Solanum lycopersicum: one gene and its partners. The main gene of each other region encodes a partner of the protein of the gene in region 5 in a complex. Links are inferred from orthologs where the notes say so. Each region holds a gene or a part of one and is shown on either strand. Other genes may lie near its edges. The genes, in order: large ribosomal subunit protein uL5c, large ribosomal subunit protein uL4c, large ribosomal subunit protein bL31c, large ribosomal subunit protein uL15c, large ribosomal subunit protein bL34c and large ribosomal subunit protein uL1c.

The links.
Region 1: large ribosomal subunit protein bL34c (region 5) and large ribosomal subunit protein uL5c share a complex: the UniProt entries of both Arabidopsis thaliana proteins name them as parts of the 50S ribosomal subunit. The link is inferred for Solanum lycopersicum from reciprocal best matches to the Arabidopsis thaliana genes AT1G29070 and AT4G01310.
Region 2: large ribosomal subunit protein bL34c (region 5) and large ribosomal subunit protein uL4c share a complex: the UniProt entries of both Arabidopsis thaliana proteins name them as parts of the 50S ribosomal subunit. The link is inferred for Solanum lycopersicum from reciprocal best matches to the Arabidopsis thaliana genes AT1G29070 and RPL4.
Region 3: large ribosomal subunit protein bL34c (region 5) and large ribosomal subunit protein bL31c share a complex: the UniProt entries of both Arabidopsis thaliana proteins name them as parts of the 50S ribosomal subunit. The link is inferred for Solanum lycopersicum from reciprocal best matches to the Arabidopsis thaliana genes AT1G29070 and emb2184.
Region 4: large ribosomal subunit protein bL34c (region 5) and large ribosomal subunit protein uL15c share a complex: the UniProt entries of both Arabidopsis thaliana proteins name them as parts of the 50S ribosomal subunit. The link is inferred for Solanum lycopersicum from reciprocal best matches to the Arabidopsis thaliana genes AT1G29070 and RPL15.
Region 6: large ribosomal subunit protein bL34c (region 5) and large ribosomal subunit protein uL1c share a complex: the UniProt entries of both Arabidopsis thaliana proteins name them as parts of the 50S ribosomal subunit. The link is inferred for Solanum lycopersicum from reciprocal best matches to the Arabidopsis thaliana genes AT1G29070 and EMB3126.

Annotation. Positions count from the first base shown.
Region 1 is NC_090808.1:1,642,514-1,646,194, forward strand, and holds large ribosomal subunit protein uL5c, read left to right. Parts: upstream 1-1,579; 5' UTR 1,580-1,748; coding exon 1,749-2,000; intron 2,001-2,428; coding exon 2,429-2,974; 3' UTR 2,975-3,174; downstream 3,175-3,681. UniProt on the Arabidopsis thaliana protein: Binds 5S rRNA, forms part of the central protuberance of the 50S subunit.
Region 2 is NC_090806.1:67,227,758-67,231,444, reverse strand, and holds large ribosomal subunit protein uL4c, read right to left. Parts: upstream 2,299-3,687; 5' UTR 1,808-2,298; coding exon 979-1,807; intron 906-978; coding exon 868-905; 3' UTR 679-867; downstream 1-678. UniProt on the Arabidopsis thaliana protein: This protein binds directly and specifically to 23S rRNA. May play a role in plastid transcriptional regulation.
Region 3 is NC_090803.1:66,609,168-66,612,073, reverse strand, and holds large ribosomal subunit protein bL31c, read right to left. Parts: upstream 1,421-2,906; 5' UTR 1,271-1,420; coding exon 1,202-1,270; intron 1,118-1,201; coding exon 797-1,117; 3' UTR 631-796; downstream 1-630. Other genes in the region: mannan endo-1,4-beta-mannosidase 7-like, read right to left, coding at 2,565-2,906. UniProt on the Arabidopsis thaliana protein: Binds the 23S rRNA.
Region 4 is NC_090804.1:3,795,168-3,799,466, reverse strand, and holds the start of large ribosomal subunit protein uL15c, read left to right. Parts: upstream 1-1,350; 5' UTR 1,351-1,543; coding exon 1,544-1,624; intron 1,625-1,702; coding exon 1,703-2,060; intron 2,061-4,299.
Region 5 is NC_090800.1:53,256,572-53,259,667, forward strand, and holds large ribosomal subunit protein bL34c, read left to right. Parts: upstream 1-1,210; 5' UTR 1,211-1,337; coding exon 1,338-1,551; intron 1,552-2,076; coding exon 2,077-2,333; 3' UTR 2,334-2,453; downstream 2,454-3,096. UniProt on the Arabidopsis thaliana protein: This protein binds directly to 23S ribosomal RNA.
Region 6 is NC_090800.1:78,436,220-78,438,933, reverse strand, and holds the end of large ribosomal subunit protein uL1c, read right to left. Parts: intron 2,665-2,714; coding exon 2,537-2,664; intron 1,652-2,536; coding exon 1,568-1,651; intron 1,304-1,567; coding exon 1,178-1,303; intron 973-1,177; coding exon 838-972; 3' UTR 527-837; downstream 1-526. UniProt on the Arabidopsis thaliana protein: This protein binds directly to 23S ribosomal RNA.

The DNA of each region.
Region 1 (3,681 bases), on a different chromosome or scaffold from region 5:
AAAATAGTAATTTCAAAGCCGTGATCGGGAATTAGTAAACTCAAATTAATTCAGATTCATATTAAAAAAATTCAGATAATGTAAAACACTTTTTATATATCAAAAGAAATTATATTCTATAACTCTGAATTTAAAATTTCTGATAAAAATATATTCGTACTTTCTACTCTACCACAACTTTTGAGGTTCCAATCCCATTCGATGTGAAATTCTTTTATTTTCACCTTTATTCAAGGTAAACTCATCCAAAATAAATAAATTATAAACGAAGTTCAAATAATCTAAGTAAATACAAGTATAGAAGAAATGAGCGAAATTAGGCTATAAATGTAAACAAAGACATGCCAGTGAAGAAACTGGCTAAATAATAAAGATTAGGTTTATTTAATGAAATGGGCCACTACGACGTTAAATTTTCAAAAAATTATCCAGCCCACAAACCAATTTAGACTTGGGCCTACCTCATTCCAGTCTAATAGACCCCAATATTTTCTTGGTAAAAATTTTTGTTGGGCCAATAAAATTTGATATAGTAAATTTCATATATAACAAATACAAAATTTATATTTGTATGATATAGCAAAGTTTGTATACTTGCGCTCGGTGACAAATATAAATATGCATAATTCCCTATATACATATACAAAGAAAGCAGTTGTATAATTCACTATACATATACAAAAGAAAGCAGTTGTATACAAAAGATAAATTGTATAATCTGCCATTTGTGTATGTATAAAACGAGAAAAAGAGAAAGACAAAAGAAAACTGAGCAGGAGAATATTTGTTTTGTATAATTACAAGTGTATAGGACGAAGATATATGTATTTACATGTGTATATACAATTTTCTCTCGCTTTATACAAACAGAAATGCAATTTATACATTTCGTTTCTGTTTGAATAAGCGAGAGAGGCGAGGGAGATTCGGGAGAGTGGTGAGTGAGATTTGAGATAGGTGAACAAAACTATATGTATCTATACAATTTTCTCTCACTTTATACAAACGCAAACACATTTTATACAATTGTGTTTGTATAAAAAACGAGAGAGGTGAGTGAGACTGTCACAAAACGAGAGTGGCGAGCGAGATTCCACCAGGGAGAGTGGCGGAAATAGCAATAGTTTGCTATAGGGTACAATTAAATCAAAGTATATTTATAACATTTAATTTAAATTAACAGTTTGCTATTATATACAATTTTCCTGATTTGATACGATCTTCATTCAATAATTTTTAGCCCAAAACTTAAGCTAACATTTAACCATAAATTTCATCATATGTTTGGCTTAATTTTTGGAAACATATTTCACTTTTTTTAAGAAATGTATACTAATAAGTTTTAAAAGTTATCAAAACTAACTATAAGTTTGTATTGCATAACAAAATAGAATAAAAAGATTCACTATCGTAACAATTAGTGTCCATGTCACTGAAGCAATATGGTAATTCAGAGATAGTGCAACAAGCATCATTGCATACATTATGAAGTAGACGAAACATATTGTTCGTCACTTTTATCAATAATCATATCGTCATTTTCTTATTTACTGAATATTACATCATTATTTTGATGTTCACGTAAAAAATTTTACTTGAAAAATCTATGGCGAAATGGATCCGAATTTTTTTTACTTAAACATTCACAAATTAAAATTTAGTAGAGAGAACTCTGTTATATCCACAAAGAACATCTTATCCAATTACCCTTTTATTTTTCACACACAGAGAGAAAAAGCTCAGAGAAAATGGCGGCTTCTCCTCTTCTTCTACACTCCACGGCCTCCTCTTTCTACAATGCTGAGTTTCCGGCGTACTCCGTTCGATTGCCGGTCGGAAATACCAAGGTCCGGTCGTCCAATAAATTGACGGTGAAAGCTTCAGCAACAGTACTAGTGGATAAAAGTGAAGCTGAAAAAGTTAATCGTCTGAAAACAAATTACCTCGAAAAGATTGTGCCGTTGTTGAAGGAAGAATTCAGTTACACCAATATTCTTCAGGTAAACTTAGGAGTCGTTTGTCCATTGCATTTTTTTTCCAGAACAGATAAAAATTAGGGCTTGGGAAAGGGAAAATGGGGGAATTGAACAAATTTTTCAGTTTTTAAAAAAGCTTAGTGCAGGTTCAAACACAAATTCAATTTTCAATTATACTTTTCAAGTTAATTTCAATTTCAAAGCATATGTACTTCTTTAGCTTCAAATTTTACAACTTATATCTACAAATTTGAACTGTTTCTTGTTTGTTTGATTAAATGTTGAATTTTAGAGTTGAAATGCTGAGAAATTAGTTTGTTTGACACTATTATCATTTGAGGAGTGAGAAATCACAGTGAATATTAGTTGCATTGACCTATTGCTTCAAACTCTATTATTATTTTTTAGTTTTAATTTGATTTGATACGGAATGTGGAAAAACCGTGTTTTAGGTTCCGAAGGTCGAAAAGATTGTGGTAAATTGTGGTATAGGAGATGCTGCACAAAATTCCAAGGGTTTGGATGCAGCAATGAATGATTTGGCCTTAATTACAGGGCAAAGGCCTGTGAAGACTAGGGCTAAGAATGCTATTGCTACTTTCAAAATTAGAGAAGGTCAACCGCTTGGAATTGCTGTTACACTTCGAGGGAATGTAATGTATTCGTTCCTTGACCGGTTAATTAATTTGGGGCTTCCTCGAACGAGGGACTTTCAAGGCGTAAACCCCAATAGCTTTGATGGTCATGGAAATTATAGCATTGGCTTTCGTGAACAGAGTGTCTTCCCAGAGTTAAGTTATGATGCTCTTGGTAAGCCAAGAGGGATGGATGTTTGCATAACAACAACAGCTGAGACAGATAAAGAGGCACACAGATTGTTGGCTCTCATGGGTATGCCATTTAGAGAAGGTTCTGGTGGACAGACAACTTTTACGAAAAAGAAAAAGCTTAGAGCTCACCATTTTGACTCGAAGGCGAAGCAAAGGTCTAGGAGATGAGGTGGATCCAATCTCCAGGGATAATGAGTTGATTTGTTGTTTTTTAACTGTTTTGTGGTTTATCAGTTGTTTTTGGCGTACAATTTGAATAGAAAAATCTGTAATTGCACTTTTACCATCTGGCTGGTGATGTCTCGAATATATGTTATTTACGTTTTCTTCCTCTAAAAAAAAAAAAATAAGAATTGTTTTTATCTCTAGTTAAGTTTTTACTATTCATGAATCTTGATTACTGTAATTTGTATGTTATTAAATATTTCCTACCCGCTCCCTTTTCTCGTCTGCCATTTACTTTGATTTCAGGCAAAGAGTTTCTCTTGTTAGCTCCACCATATTCACATTTAGGTGAGTTAACATCTCTGCTTTTATCTTTTATCGTATGTGATAAGGAGTATTTGCGGGCGATATCTTATTTACGTTTTCTAAATTTGTCCTAATGCTTAACACTTGATGTGTGTGAGGCTGTGGAGTCCCATACTTATTTCTACTCCCTGATCCCCCACCTTTCTCCTTTCTTCCTCTAAGGTTTATTTATATTCGCATATTAGAAAGTCACAGTTATTTATAGTATATACCATGTTGCTGAATCTTTATTCCCTTGGCTTCATTTTATTCTGCTCAAATTGTACAGAGTTTTTTCTTTCAAAGTGTGTATGAATGTGCTTTTTAGTGGTTTCAGGTTCTATGTCATTTGATTTGGTTTTAAC
Region 2 (3,687 bases), on a different chromosome or scaffold from region 5:
TTTCTCCAGACATCAGTGTAGCATAGCCCTCCACAATGTAAATTTTTCATTTTTCTTGTTCTTCTTTTGCTTTTTAAACAGCCTGGCTTTGAAATATGTAAAATTGATCAATGAGATAGTTTGTGCAATCCATTGATTCATTCTCAAACCTTCTATTTTGAGGCTAAAAGCAGAGTAGCAATTAGCGCTTAAACTCAAAAGTTCTAGTAAAAGCCTAGAGATACTCATATACTCTCCATCACATATTTTGATAGTACAAATGTCCAAGTTATCTGCCTCCATAGATAGTCTACTAGATATGGTCTGTTTCAAGGTTAATAATGCTTAGCATCCCATATGCCCCCAATGACTCAAAACAAAGTAAAGAGCATTTTTTCCTGCCAATTACTTTGTGTTTGTATTAAAGAAAAAGGTGATGAAGCTTTTTCCACCCAAATAAAGGTTTCCTTTTCTTAACTTTGCTTAATTGCTTCAAGCCTAAGACTCAAACACAAAGCTTTCCTAATCATTTTACTTTGCTGAATCTCGCCTGGCTGACAACTTGTAACCCATAAATCTTATATAAAGCTTCATCTACTAAGCAATTAATGTAGTTTTGCCAGAACACAAGACTTAATTAGTAAAGTAACTAATCACTCTTATCATAAAAATCAAGAACTCAAAGTGGTAATGAGAGCGGAACGAAAATCAAGAGTAAACTATTCCAACGAAGGTAATGGACAAATGCAGTCAGTGACATGAAATCAACCAAAATCACCTAGTTTTATCATACAATAAAATACAATTCAAAGTGAAATATACTAAGCTCCCTGTAAGGTAAAGCCTCCTCTAAAATGGAACAGACCCTTTTCGCCCCATGTTCATATATTACTCAGAACTTTCAGCACTCTCCTCCACCTCGCCACCTGAATGCAGCAAATTAACGAGTTAGCTAAAATTGAAAGGAAACTTCATACCCAAAATGAAGCAAAAACTAACCATCTTCTTCTTCCTCGTCCACCACCTCCCAGTCATCATCATCATCATCATCATTTCCGTATCGTTCATTCAAGAACTCCACAGCTGATTTAGTGAAAACCAGCTTCTCAGAATCCAATATGTCGAAAAGATTCAAAGTTCTGGGTGTCAACATCTTCAATGTGCTAATGTTTCTGCTGGAGAGAATCACATTGTCTGAAACTTCCGTCATCAAAAACAAAGATTTCTCTTTTGGGTCCAATCCCCATCTTCTCATCAAATCAATGAACTCCTTAGTCTTCGGTTTCTCAAACTTATCATCAAACTCTTCCACAACAATGGCATTCTGTGTAGCACTCGAAAGCGCAGTAGAAATCGCGAGTCTCTTTTCCTTTTTGTTAATCTTAACTGACCAATCCTTAGGTTTCGGCCCAAACACAACCCCACCACCTGGTCGTAAAGGAGTTCGGTTCGACCCACGTCGAGCTCGACCCGTTTTCTTTTGTGGGTATGGTTTGATACCACCACCCCGTACTTGGGCTCGGGTAAGGGTGGAAGCAGTACCGCGACGTTGGTTGCGCAGGTCAGTGGTAAGCCCACGATGAACGACGGCGCGTGCGGTATCAAGAGGGGCGGATTTTAAGTTGAGAGTGGTGGAGCCCACTTCGGTACCATCAAAGGACAGAATTGGAATAGTGGCGGCGGCGGCCTCTGAACGGATGGAGAATTGTTGTTGTTTGGGTTTGAAAATGAGTTGTTTCTGCTGCTGCTGCTTTGAGGAGTGAAGGGTGTTGGAGTTAGAGAAGAAAATGGTGGAAGAAAAGAAAGATAAAGAAGAAGAAGTAGCCATTTTTGCAGTGAAGGAGCAAACTGCAAGCCTATGGATTGGGTTATCCACAAATGAGGAAGAAGGATATCAAAATGTATTCATATTCTTTGTTCAAATAAATTTAGTGAAAATGGAAAAGTCATATATACCCTCAAAGTATTTGAAATTGAGCACATATTTGATAAATTTAGGGACATATTTGCGGAAACATGCGCTCCCTGCGGGTAATAACAAGAGAGTGAATCCTCCAAACTCAAAGAGTGATTGAGTCCGTCTCAAGCGAGTGAGTGAAAGGCGTGGCAAGAGAGCGAGTTCGACTTGCGAACGATCAGCAAGTGAAGGACCGATCCTTTTGCGCCAATGAACTCTTCAACTTTACGACGTAACAGACTCTCTAGCTTTACGAGATAGTGATAAGGTCTACAAATATTCTATTCTTTCTATGCTTATCGTTGTCAGAGTATATTTGATAATTTTTTCACTTATGAATCAACAAATGAGGTTAATCAAATGTTTCATTTAGACTAATAACACATTCAAAATGATAAGGTCATATATAAGCCAAACTATTGACGAAGAGTTGAAGGGCATGTCTATTTAATTTACAATACTTTAAGAACATAATTAAATCTTCTTTTGTGTAGGAAAAAAAATAAATTTTTTAGAGCGTAAGCGACAAATAAAATTTTTATGAAATGTGCTCTTTATTTTTATTAATTTTGATATAATATAAAAGTTATACAATTTTCTTGATCAAGTCTTTTGTTAGTTGGGGCTACACCATCATAAGCCCAAAACCTTCATTTTCTTTTATTTTGAGGCGCTATTGATGCAGCCTGCTACATATTGCCTTCCCTTTCCAATTTTTCCATGATACGCTAAGCCCAACTCGTATGTTGAATTCGGTTAAGAAAACAAACCTTGAATCTAATCTAACTGTAACATCGTAGCTAGCTCAAGAGGAAATAATTGTTCAAGATTATTTATGCTTATCAATCAATTTAAGACTCAACGCTCCTTTGCACGTTCATGGTCAGATATCATGAATGTAAGCAATATAAAATGGAGACCTAATATTAAATGATAATGAAGTGAGATGGACGTAACTTCAATACCATATTAGATTTAACTCAATTCAAAAGATAAATCGAGGAGATATGATTGTTCAAGAGTATATAAAGAAATCAATTTCTCCTCGTTCCACTTATGTTGAAACTTAACAAACTCAATTAAATTTTGAACTAATAATTTCAAATGTACCATAAAAATAGGTTCTGCAGCTTACATCCTAAAATTAGGTAAGCTATGCTTATTCCACATTGAATTAAAAGCAACAGAAAGTTCATAGGTCTTTAGTAAAAAGAATTTATACTAATATGGGATTTACAATTGCCATGAAAAACGTCTTAATCAATACTCCTATCTCAATGACTATCTATAAGTACTCCTTCATCCTTAATTAGAGATTTCAGATTTGAATCTTTCAAAGTACAAAGTCACCTTTACGAGGAAACAATGAATCCCTCAGTACTAATGTGAATCCAGATTAGTTGAGCTCCAATATGAATATCAGACATCAGGCGCATAAAGCATAGATTCACAAGATTCTTCCCAAGAAAACTCCCTACATGCACCAACAAAGTTAGTGAAATCTTCAACTCCATTTTGATCATAGTAACAATCCTTGAACCAAATATTCATATCATCATCATCACTAGGAGTTGAAGAATCCATGTCTGAATCAATCCAACAATATTCAAGTTCACCAAGATCATCACAAGACAAATTAGTTGAATTCTCTACTTTCATTTGCTCAAACAAAATTGAATCATTTGTATTAACACTAGGAACAATATTCTCTACTTCTAATGACTCAATCACACTTCTTAATAACTCTTCAT
Region 3 (2,906 bases), on a different chromosome or scaffold from region 5:
AAATTGAATGCAGAGTTCGCTTTACAAGAACAAAAAATCTTTCTTAAGAACCTATGTGACTTGCTTTAAACCGGCACCTTCCCTTTTTTAGTATGAGAAGAGACCAGCCAGCTTGATAGACAACTCTCAAAAAGCATTTTACACAGTAAACTGCAAGAATGGAAGTGCACCACAGCACCAGTACAACTAACATTAGAACGCTTGGCTAATGCAACCATACAAAAGACAAGACACCAAATCTATAACAGACTTTATTTCATCTTTACTTTGTCAAGGATTCAAGGGACGGCTGAAACCCTGAAACAATCAGCCTTTCCAATCACAGGTATAACATTACACCAAGATAGTGCAAAACGGACAAGTTTCGTTCAGTTTATCAGGTAAAGGGGTGAAAGACAACTCATTTGAAACTATTGAACGTAAACTATGATCAATGAACTACACCTGATCCAAACTGTTTTAAGTTAACACAATTTTTTTGTATCCATTCAGCTCTATTAGGCTCATTACATTCCAATAGTCGAAGCAATAATGGCAATCGAAAGCAAGACAATTCACTGGATTCAACTTAAATGCTCTACCAGCCCAACTAATTGATGAACCATATAACAACAACAGCAAATCCAAAAATTTGAAGAACAAAGACTGAATTTTTATACTTCCATTTTCAAATAATAGACTGAGTTCACAACTGAAACCATCAAAATACAAACACAAAATACACAAAACCCCTAATTCTCCAACAATTTCCCCATTTACGAAACGAACTAAGGGAATTACAAACACACAATAAAGTCTACTTCTTCTTAGTAGGTTTCTTCTTCTTAGGAGGAAGCACAATCTCTCCTTTGAGAGTTGGAATTTGCATAATCTGTGTTAACCCACTAAACTTCTTCCTGAATTTCTCTACCTGGTCAGCATCAAGAAGTAGCTGTGAACGACTACCTTGATAAAAAGGATGATTACCTGACCAAACATCAACTGTGTACTCATTCTTTGTTCCCCCAGTTGTCATCACATGCTCTCCATTACAATATACCTTAGCGTCATCGTAGAATTGCGGATGTATATCCTTCTTCCTGCAGCTCCATCGCATTTGATTGCTCCCAATTCCCATCTGCAAAATTCAATTTTTCAACAATCATATACTTTTTAAAAAAAAAAAAAAAAAGTTATGGGTATGGAGATTTTGGGGAGTTACCTTCTTGGAGGAGAATGAAGGAGGAGCGACATTTTTTTGAAGGAAAGTGTTGGAGAGAGTGAGCGCCATTGTTGGTATTTTTGCAGAAGAAGAATGAGAGATGGAGAAAAAGAGGAACGGGTTGAAGATTAGATTGCTTATCTGAGGATATTGGGCTGTATATTTGATTGGGCTCTACTTGGGCTAGTTTTGTATGATGTTACTTTTGGGCTATTACTTGAAGCCCAAGGAGTAGGTAAGGCCCATTTATGTAAATACTCTTTCAAAAATGGATTAAACTCGTTAGGGTTGTTTGGGATTAGTTATTGATTCGTTATTACTAATTTGATTTCTTGCATAAGTATTGCATATTTTTTTAAGAAAAACTTGTTTGTTGTAAAAATATCATTTACCCTAGTAGAAAAAAGGTTTGACTAATCTCAAAAGTATTTTTATTATTTTATTTTTAAGTAATCGCTGTTTTTGGGTGGGCACATGGTAAAACTCCCGCTCCTATACGTTAGTTCGCAAATCACATAGGAGAAATAATCTGCATTAGGCAAATTCGGTGCGATGAGCTCAACCCAGAATTTACTTTCGCTGGCAAGTGATTTTGAACTTAAGACCTCTAACTTAAAAGTTCCAAGTCTTAACCATCTGGAGAAATAATGCTAATAAAATATTATCTGTAGATTATTTATATTTATACTCATATCACCCACCATGTATAGAGTGTCAATTACGACTTCTTGACCATTGAATTTAATACTATCGGTCTCTCCTCTCCGAGACGTGTAACACAAATTGGCCAATTTATAAATCAAATATCCTCCTTTTTCCTTTGTATCTAGAGTTTACCAAATAGTTTTTTGTTTTTTTTTTTACATATTATTGAAAGATTAATTCAACCAGGCATGATTGATAATAACTTAGTTCGATTATAATCTTTGATAAGAATAAAGTGTTTGAATAAACAGAAGTGATGTTGTGCTTACCGCCATAAGCAAATCCAAGTTATTTATCTTGTCCTACTTTCAATTTTTGTTATCCCACACGTTGTATTGATTCATTAATCTTTTTTTTTAAAAAAAAATAATTTCTTTACTATTATATTTCTTTTTTAATATGCTTTGAAATATCTTAATTTATCAAAAATAAACTCTTCAATTTCATAAAATAAAATCATATGAAATTACACTAGATACATCGATACAATCGATGTTTTTTTTAAGGCATAATAAATCACTACTAGAATACTTCCTCTGACATACAACATGTCGAGCAGTACATTACCAAAAAAAAAAAAAAAAAAACATTATCTAACTTCTTGCTAACTTAAATTAATTCATCTCTAACATAAATTAAATCTCTCTAATTCTCATGATTAATCCTTTAATTTCCTTGCTTTCTTCCACTTCTCTATATTCTTCAACCTTGCATACATTTTTCTAATCTTATTAAGCCTTTTAGATTGCTGAATAATAATATCAGAAACAGATGAACTTTCACTCAATATAATCTCATATCCATCTTTAAATGAATCCATTCCTTCAGCCAAAACATGCCAAAACAACCCTCCTGCCGCCGCGCCGCCGCCTTTAGCTGATGAAAATATAGAGGAATAAACAGTGTTGAAGATTATATCTCTTTGTTGTGGTGTAAAGCCAGGCCCTTTTGTTGTTTTGCCAAACTCAGCAAATATAATAGGCTTTTTTAGAATTGTTTG
Region 4 (4,299 bases), on a different chromosome or scaffold from region 5:
GAATTATCTTGTTTTCTCCATTGCAATGACTATAGTTATATTTTTTTTAAAAATAGTACAGGAGGAAGAACATGAGTAAAAAGAGATGGAGGTTTGTGTGATTGTCAAATTTGTGTGTATATATATATATATATATATATATATAAAATAGAATACTTATATACATAGATATTTGTATTATAATATTAACACTCGTTGAAAATGGTGATTTACAAATACAAATATATCTGGATACATAAGTAATTTATCCAATTTACAAGATTGATTAGGCAATACAAGTACAATTGGATACATTAATACTATATTTTTATAAATACCTAAGTTAACACCAAGCTTCATGTATTACAGGATCACTTACCAAAAAGAGATTGGCAATTGTTATTTATCAATTTTTTATACAGGCGAATTCTTATATACTTTGATACCGACACATTCTATTATTTTCTATTTTTTTGTTTCTACGTTGTCCAATTTATCCATCTTTGATTTAGTAACACAATGTATTCATATGTATACTATATTGCATTCATTTTTTGAACAACAATAATGTATTCATTTTTCAAATAGCCGTGTTCATATGCTAATTGTCATACTTTAACTTGTTTGATATATATATTGATACATTAAATTCTTACAAAAACTTGTATCATTGATATATATATATATATATATATATATATATATATATATATACACTTTACGTTTTATAAATATAGATACTAATTTGAATTCAAAGTATTCATATACTAACTGTACACAATTAATACATTTTCCTTATTTAGTTTGTTGTAATTAAACTTGTATTACTGTATAAATAGAAAAATAATAATATTTAAAGAATTAATACAGCTAGAAAAAGATATAAATTGTATTCATTTTTTATAAATAACATACTTGTAGCTATTGAACTTTGATAAATCCTATAAATGTAGTCATTTTTATAATTTGCTGATTAATGAATGTATACAGAAATTTGGGCGGAGTAAGACAGGATTAAGGAGATTCTTTTAAATTTTCTTAAGCAGAACATTATAAGAGTAATCCTCATCGGAGTATAGCATGACGAAAGAGGAAGAAAAGAAAGATTACTATCTAAAAAAGAAGTTGACGAATTACTAATAACCCTCGTATAGAATTTATCAATGACTAAGTAATCAAACATGTTAGTAATTAATATGACTTGTAGCGAGCGTTTAGATCTCTCTTTCTTAATCATATGTTTCAAATTCAATCCCATAAATGAAAAAAATCAGTTAGGAAAGTCCCCTCTAAAAATGTGCCCAGTCGTGTGTGAATTCAAATTTTATTTAAGCCTATTACTAATATCAAACATCATGTTGGAAGCAAAAAAGACCACGATCCTCAAAATGAAGTGTAATACACACATATCGAATTAAATATCGAACACCTGATAATAGACTCGTAAACTAATTTAAAAAGTAGAAAAGAAAGTCCCTGAAATAACCACCCCTATCCGTTAAAATTTGTCAAAACACTTTTTGCTTGGACAGTGAACACAATCCTGAGTTCTCCCTTATCAACAATGGCGTCTCTACTCTCCATCTCCTCTGCATCACCTACAAGAACAAATTCAATCATTACCCAGTTTTCTTCATCATTCAAGGTACAATTTCTCCTCTTTAATTTTTCAATTTCTGTCAAAATTATACAATTCTCATTTATCCCCATCAATTTTTTTCAGGGTAATGTAAGTAATTTGAAGTCAAGTTCGAAGCTTTTGCCTTTAATAAAGGTCTGCAATTTGAAATCTAAGTCAATAACAAGAACCCCATTTGTTGTTTTCAACCAAACTGCAAGTTTTGGTGCTGATTCTGCAACTGGGAGTGTTCGTTTTCGGCTTAATAACTTGGGTCCTCAACCTGGGGCTACCAAGAATAGGAAGAGGAAAGGTAGAGGGCATTCAGCTGGACAAGGGGGTAGTTGTGGTTTTGGTATGAGAGGTCAAAAATCAAGGTCTGGACCTGGAGTTAGAAAGGGGTTTGAAGGGGGTCAAATGCCTCTCTATAGGAGACTTCCTAAGTTGAGAGGAATTGCTGGAGGTAATTTGTTAACATTGCTTCAACATAATTATATTATCACAGGGGTCGTTTGGTACAAGGGATAAGAGATAATAATCTCGGGATAAAATGTTGGATTGCCTTTGGTTAGGGGTATTAGTTAGTCCCTGAATATCTATCTTGTCATTTTTATAAGATAATGATAGGATAAGTTATCTCATATATATATGGCGGGATAACTAATTCCTCGGGATATACTAATCAATGGGATAACTTTGTCTATCTCATCCCTAGTACCAAATGACCCCTTAGTTTGAGTTGGATTTTGTTTTTCCTTGTTTTGTTGTTTGTTTCTGTGTCCATCTGCAGTGTTATAGTTTACCATTTAAAAGTCTATGGATAAGTGTTATAAAATTTATAGCTTTAACTTGACTATGTGTTCTTTTTTATATTTGTGTTCGGGGCACCTTGCATGCAGTAGTGTTGTCAAAGCTGTGCATAAGCGAGGTTCAAAATGTGTTGAGCGCTTTGTCTTGCTTAATGTGCTCTTCAGGGTCGTCATCAAGTTTCTTAGGCATTCTTTTGAGTCTCTTTAGGCAACACTAAACAATTGATATTTCACTTAATAGTAAAAAAAATAATTTCTTTGTTCATATATTTGTCATTCATGCTTACAATTATTATTCTTAGACTAAACAAACATATGTATTTGTATTTCTCCCTTTGCTCCTTTTTATATTAAAGATCATGCTTTATTCACGTTTTATGCTTAGTCCCAATGGTCCTCAGAGTTTTTTTGATTTGATAACACTGTCATGTACTTAATTCCACGGGTACCTGCTTCTTCCTGCCAACACTTGTGTTGGATATTCCTTTGCTACTTCATTCCTCAACTAATGGAATACAAACTCTTTTTTCTGCCCTGCCTGGTGTCATCCATCTCCAAATAGTAAATGCGCTGCTGAGCGGATAACTCTATCCAGAAAGGCTTGGATAAATGAATATTGAACAGGAGACATTATGGTTCTCAACCAACTCCATTAACAACTACGCCACTCACTTGGGTGCACTGTGTGTATCTTTGTTTACAAGCATGTTTGTTTTTCTTTTGGTTGTGTCATTGCAGAGGCAGATTTTCATAGGATGATAAAAAGTCTTATCTGCATCTGGTGGACATATGTGTATGCATACTCAAACTGTACTGATGATTAATCTAAAGAAATTTATTACAAATGATCAATATATTGCACTAAGAAATAAAGCTATGCATAGTTATATGACATCAAGGCAAATATCTTGAAATTCTTATTTTCTTATTTGCAATATTCTGAAATCCTCAACATTTTTATCTTCCTCTATAATCCGAAGACTGTTACCCCCTTATTTAAACTAAAAGGAAAGCCTTGATCGATATGAGAGAAATGTGCTCAAGCATCCAACCAGGTGTAACGTCTGTCAAGAAGTTTCTTACTGCAAAATGAACATTCTAGGAGCTCTCACTCGAACAAATGCTCCTTATGCCATCATAAACCGAATCAGCGGATATAAAATCTGTCCTTTCCTAACCTTCCCCTAGCAGGAAACTTATTTTAAAAGGAGGAGGATTTGGAAAGTTCATACTAAGGAGGTAAAAAGGCCCTCGAGTCAAAGGGCTATTCTTCCTTTGATTTGAAGAGAATGTCAGTGCCTTGACTCTCTAGTCTCAGTGTGGCTCTTGAGTAGTCTTCACTTTCCCTTATGCATGGCGTTTGATTAAGTATTTTCTTCAATGTCAAGTTGTTGGTATTACTAAGATGATTCATAACTGTCCTTTATTTTTGGCGTAACTTGTATCCATTCGCATTATATAATGCTGAACCTTGATACTCACACCTAGAGTTGTGTGTCAAAAAATAAGTTCTTACTTTTCTTAGGCCTTTCATACTGATTAGGCCTTGCCATGTCTAATTTTTATAACTTTGACTATTTTAGGCTATTCTAACTTAATAACTGAAGTAATTGATAGTGCTCTTTGTAAAACCTCCAATCTCGTCTTTTAATTTGTTTCATTATGTGTTTTGTTGATTTAGTTAAGGATTTCCCTCAAGTCAGGCTAATCTGTCAAAAGCAATTATCTACTACATGTTTACCACCTTTGCCACCCGTTCCTTGTATACTCAATATTGCTGACTATCAATTTCATTGACCGGTTAATGCATGAAATATAAATAAAGGACCATATTGATTAGCAGAAGTTTCTGAAGGGACAAACTTGTAAGATGAAGTTCACTTTGATTCTCAA
Region 5 (3,096 bases):
ACTTGTGAATTACACCTTTAATTTTTAACTCATGTTGTTTATATGTTTCTGGTTGGGCTGCTAGTATTGAGTCTCCTAATTTCCCCTACAAAAGATTTTTACTGTCATTCGGGGACGAATGTTCCTAAAGGGGGATAATGTAACACTTCGAAAGTCCATGACCTAATCTAGAGATTCATATAATGAACCAACACTTCAAAAACTGTTTATTTACCTGAAATACTATATTTAAAGTATTTAGGAAGTGTTAGAGTCAAATGTCAAGAAATGACCATGACGTTCGATGATTGTGAAATATGCACTCGTGTGCCTTGGCATGTTGCATAGAGGTTTAAGAGTCGTAATTTAATGAAAGTTGGTAAAAAGGCGTTACATATATAGAAGAGAGTATTTAGGGTTGAAATGTACAGGTACGACTCCCCAAGGGCCACCCTAGGGGTCCTTGAGGAGGACCCTTCCATTTGGACCCAAAAGTTGTCAATTGACAGTGTACAACCACGAGCCAAGCGAGGAGTCGTCGTTTGATCGACGCTCCGTAGATGGCCTCATAGGTTGACACTTATTCAATTGGCCTGGATGCTCCAAAAATCAAGTCTCTGTCCCAAACAACGACCAGCAGCACGGGGCCGTTGATGGGACTACAAGGCATAGGTCGAGGAGTCGTCGACTGGGTTTGTTTTGCTGTCAAGTTTTTAAGTTGGGGATTTGATCAGTTAGTTAGTTAGTTAATTAATTAAGGGTTAGGGGGTGGTTAATTAAGTTAGTTGAAGGACTATATAATACCTAAGCCTCATTAAACTAACCTAACACCCCACAATTCCCAAACTCAAATCCTCTCCAACTTCTCTCTTCTTTCTCTCTCTATTGCAAGACCCCATTGAAGAACAATTCAAAGCTTGAGTAGGACTTAAATACTTCAAATTTTATCCATCAAACACTAAGTAATCCTAAGGTATGAAAGATCTACACTCTTGGGATCTCTTTCCCCAAAAGGCTCTTGAATTTGGGTCAAAATGATGAAATTGGATAATTTTAGTAAATTTGGAATTTTCATCCAATTGAGGGGCATAAATGATGAAAATTAGTAACGACAAGAGTAAAAATAATTTCCTTTTAAGGTAAAAGACATAGTAAATCAATAAATAAAATTGAAAAATATTTTTACCCTTTCCACTTTAAATAAAAGTGTTTTACTGTGTCAAACCCTCTCTAAATCCATCTTTAACCCGTTTATCTTTTCGGATTACCTAAAGAGTCCCTTGGATTGCAGATAAGGCATCAAAACCTCTTATAGATAGACAGAAGAGTAAGAGGGAGAGTTTTGAAAGAGAGAAAAAATGGCTTCTTTGTCAATGGGAAGTTGGGTATGTTCAGGAATAGGAAACCACAGACCATCCGCTTCGCTTTCTCTACGTACTGGTTCTTCAACAACGACTACTTCTGTTTCTTTGAAAATGGCTGCTAATGCCTCTACTCATTCTGGGTTGCTTCACTGCTCTTTTCTTCCTTCCTCTGCACTCTCTACATTATCTTCTTCAACATCCTTTTCTGGTAAGTTCCATAAATTCTCTATCTTCCTTTTCAATTTTGATGTGGAAATTGAAAATGTGAATTAGAGATTTCAGTTGTTATTTGAATTGGTAATGTGGGGTTGTTTATTGATTCCTGTTTTAGGCAGGTAGTATTTTCATTTGAATTGCTTCTTTTGAGAACTCCTTAATAGGCAATTATTCGCTTGTGTGTATCTTGAGTCCTGTTAAATTATATACACTCTTTGAAGGTACAAGGGGGAGACAAGAGTAGGTTGCAATTCTTCATTCTGATGTTTAGTATTCCATATAACACAAATTTGTAGTGTCTATTTGTGGTCTGACATTGCTGTGCTATTGAAAAAAAGTGAATCGTATTTCTGATTTTATAGTCAAAATCCATTGGTTAAAGCTAGATTATAAAACAATTGAACCAAAAAAGTTTCAACAAAGAGGAGACCTTTAAGGTCCAAAAGACATATGATCAATTTCATATTAAATTGGCATGATGAATAGTAGCGAGCTAATGGTTTAATATGTGGTGTAGGTTCATCATTTGGCATTGGCTTCAATTCCAACATTGGAGTGAGCACCACTAAAAGGCGTGGCCTGGTGGTGCAGGCAAAGAAGTATGCTCTTTGTCAGACTAAGAGGAATAGGTCGAGGAAGTCGTTGGCTCGAACACATGGTTTTCGCAAGCGTATGAGCACCACCAGTGGCAGAGCAACTATCCAGCGAAGACGTGCAAAAGGCCGATGGGATCTCTGCCCAAAGTCTTCACCTAGAACTGGAAAACGAGCTTAATGTTTATTGTTTTCTTGCAACTGATTTTTGTTGGTAATATGTTAACTATCTTTTTCAGAATTTTGGGCTGCTGTAATTTTCATCTGTTTTATTTAAAGAACTAATTTACTAGTTTCCATATTTTTGTATTGTCCACTCTTTCATTGATTGGTTTTTGCTTTCTCCTTCTGATCTTGTTCATGAGTCTGGTCAACAAATCGACCCTGAGAAATTTGTAGACTCAGCAGGTTTTCATTTGTCTGATTCATCATAGGGCTTTTTCAGAGGTCTAATGTTTTCTTTTGTTTTCCATTTGTCATTGGAGAAAGTATTATAAGAAAGTTGCTCCACCAAAGAGGGGAATATGAGACTGACATGTTGAGGTGTTTTATGGACATCGATCGAACAAGGCCCTTATGTAAGGGTGCTATATTGTTCTCACAAATCATTCTTCACATGTTGGGTGAGCTTGGATTGTAACTGCAGTTATTTGGAAATTTCAGAATTGCATTTGTGTTACTAAATTTTGCTTCGTAACTGAGGATTTTACTAGTATGCTGCAGGATCATCCGGCTGTTGGCATGTGTAAGTTGAAATACAATTTAGAAATGTGCCCCAACCGAACCAGAAACCGACCTGTCTATGGTTTTTTTCTATAAATTAGTAGCTCGGAAAAGACAATATATGTAATATTCTATTTCTCATCAATTTGGTAATGCCGGACGTAGGTATAAGAAGCATACTATCCTAATGCATGAGAAGTTTGTATGAGCGAAATATTCAC
Region 6 (2,714 bases), about 25 Mb from region 5:
ACATAAGTTGTATGTTATCATTCGTAAGGCGTAAGTTTAGAGAACATTTTGTCTTGTAGAAATAAGTTAAGTCTGTTGAGGCATGATTTTGTGGGTTTTAAGACTGAACACATTTCTCGATAAACATAAGTTCCATAGAAACTAAGTTATGTCTTATAAGTCATAACTCATGAGTTATGCCAGAACTAAGTTTATGTTTTATAATAAGGCATTATGAATTGAACTTTTATGCTTCGTTCTTTAGGAATAAGAGACATAAATTGTTTAGATTAGATACGAAAAAATAAAATTGTCTTGTGGTTTTTTATTTTATTTATTTATTTTCGATGTTAAGAGTATTTTCAGACGACTTTTTTGTTATCGCAAGTGATGAAGGACAAAAATTATCCTAAAAAATTAACTACCACCCCATGGGTACATGCGTATGACCCTTTTCCACAGTGGTAAAGTAAAGAAAAATACTAAAAACTGATAGGTTTATTCAGCTCAATCAGTTGTTGGCAGAATCTCAAGAGATGAACACAAATTAGAGAATCTTGCAGCATATAAAACTTCTGAAAATTGAATTAGCTCCCCTTTTAGCAAATCGAAGCATAATGTACATTAGCACCTAGTAAGAATTAAACTGAACATAAACATTGACAATATCAAACAAAATTATTCTCTTAGCAACTGTGCCTATGAATGCTTCCACACTGATATTGACAATATGAAGTTTGGATCTCCTTTCAAACTCCACCTACTTTGTATCCTAACTCTCATAAAATGGAAGCTCTGATAAGGCGCCGAAGAAACTTAGGTAGATGATAGAAGATACAATATACATGTCTCGCTCAATTAAGCATTCGGAAGCTTGTACTCCAGCATCTCCCTTACGTTTAACCGAATGGATGGCCCCATCGACGAGCATACATGTGCACTCTTCCAATAAACTCCTTTAGCACCTGATGGTTTGTTTGCTTCCACCGATTTCTGTTCATTCAAAGAAATGCAGTTGAATTAATTTACAATGGCTTCTACCAGCCTCTCTACCTCCATGAGGTAGTTGTAAGGTCTGTATACATTCTACCCTCCCCAGACCCCACTTTTTAGAATTTTACTCGGTATGTTGTTGTTGGTATATTCAAACTATTCTGGAACAAAAGTATAAGAAATAGGAGCTAACGATAAAACTTACCACTGCTGCAATGAAGTTTATGATAAGATCTTCTTCCGAGAAATTTGCTTTTCCAAATGGCAAGTGAACAATTCCAGTTTTATCTGCTCGGTATTCTACTTTACCCTTTTTGAATTCTTCGATAGCCTGGAGGAAGTACAACAAGTTTACATACTTGAAAACATTTTCAAGGAGCAAGAAAATAGTCCATTAAGTGAATCATCACTGCCTACTCATTAACTACATTGTTTCACATTTTGTTAACTCTGAATAACTTCCAAGCTAGGATATATATGGTGTGGCTTCCCATTTAATATAAAGATCTAGGGATTCCACCATTGCACATAGAACATAAGAAAGAGAGTATTTTGATTCAACTTTTTCACAAGAAGAAAATATTTGACACGTTACCTGAGGTATATTTGTAGTGACAGTACCAGCTTTTGGGTTTGGCATGAGTCCTCTAGGACCAAGGACCCTACCTAAGCTAGCAACCTGCCGCAAATAGTAGAGAATGTATCAATATGAATTCACAAAAAAATTACGTAAAATGAGCCACAGATACTTGTTCAGGTGTTAATAAAACTAATTTCTAGACAAGTCACTTAAAAAGGTTCAATTTTTTGAATCAGCTGTCAGTGAGCATTAAAATGGTAAGACGGGGAGAGGAGCCTCTGCGATTAATCACTCAGCTTAAGTTAGGCTTAATATTGCCATCAGTCCTGCAGCATTAGATTTATGATAAAGTAAGATGGACCATAATTCACAAATATACAATGCAGAAGCTGTTCCAAGATATGGCACATGAAGAATGTAAAACTCATGCACAATGTTACAACAGAATTTTATGATTTAACTTTTTCAGAAAGAAGGCTTGCTAGAAAATATGCAGATGCTGACTAGCCAGATTTTGAGGTCAAGGAATTTTAAGAGCACCAACCTAGCAAAATATATGAACAAATGAACATGGAATGACAGAGAAAGACTCCGAAGGGAATGATAGAATTTAACAAAATATGTTTTATTCAACCAAATCATTATTTTAGTTGTGAAGTATTTTCAGAAGAAAAGATACAACAGCTAGAGCTTTTCACCAGGTCAAGTGAGTTGGTTCAGAACAAGCTACGCATTGTTAAGTTATATATCCAGGTTGACAAGGCCCAAACGCATGCACAAAAACTTTGGGAGCGAGATATGCTGAATTATTTGAGACAGACAGTCGCTCTTTGCCTTGTGCAAACTTCAATATGAGATTCTTAAAACCAAGAGACAGAAGTTCATAGGCTGGTTGTCGAAGACAGTATAAAAAATGAAAAAGGAGATCAAATTGAACATCAAAGGCAAGTCAGACATTTTTAATAGCAAAGACTGTAGAAACACCTTAGGCATCATATCTGGTGTTGCAATCAATTTGTCAAACTCCATAAATCCTCCCTTTATCTGTTCTATCAAATCCTCCCCACCCACTATATCAGCTCCTGCATTTTTCGCTTCATCGAACTTTTCACCTGTAGAATTTTAGCTGCAACACAATTAGCGTGCCGAAATAGTGATTACA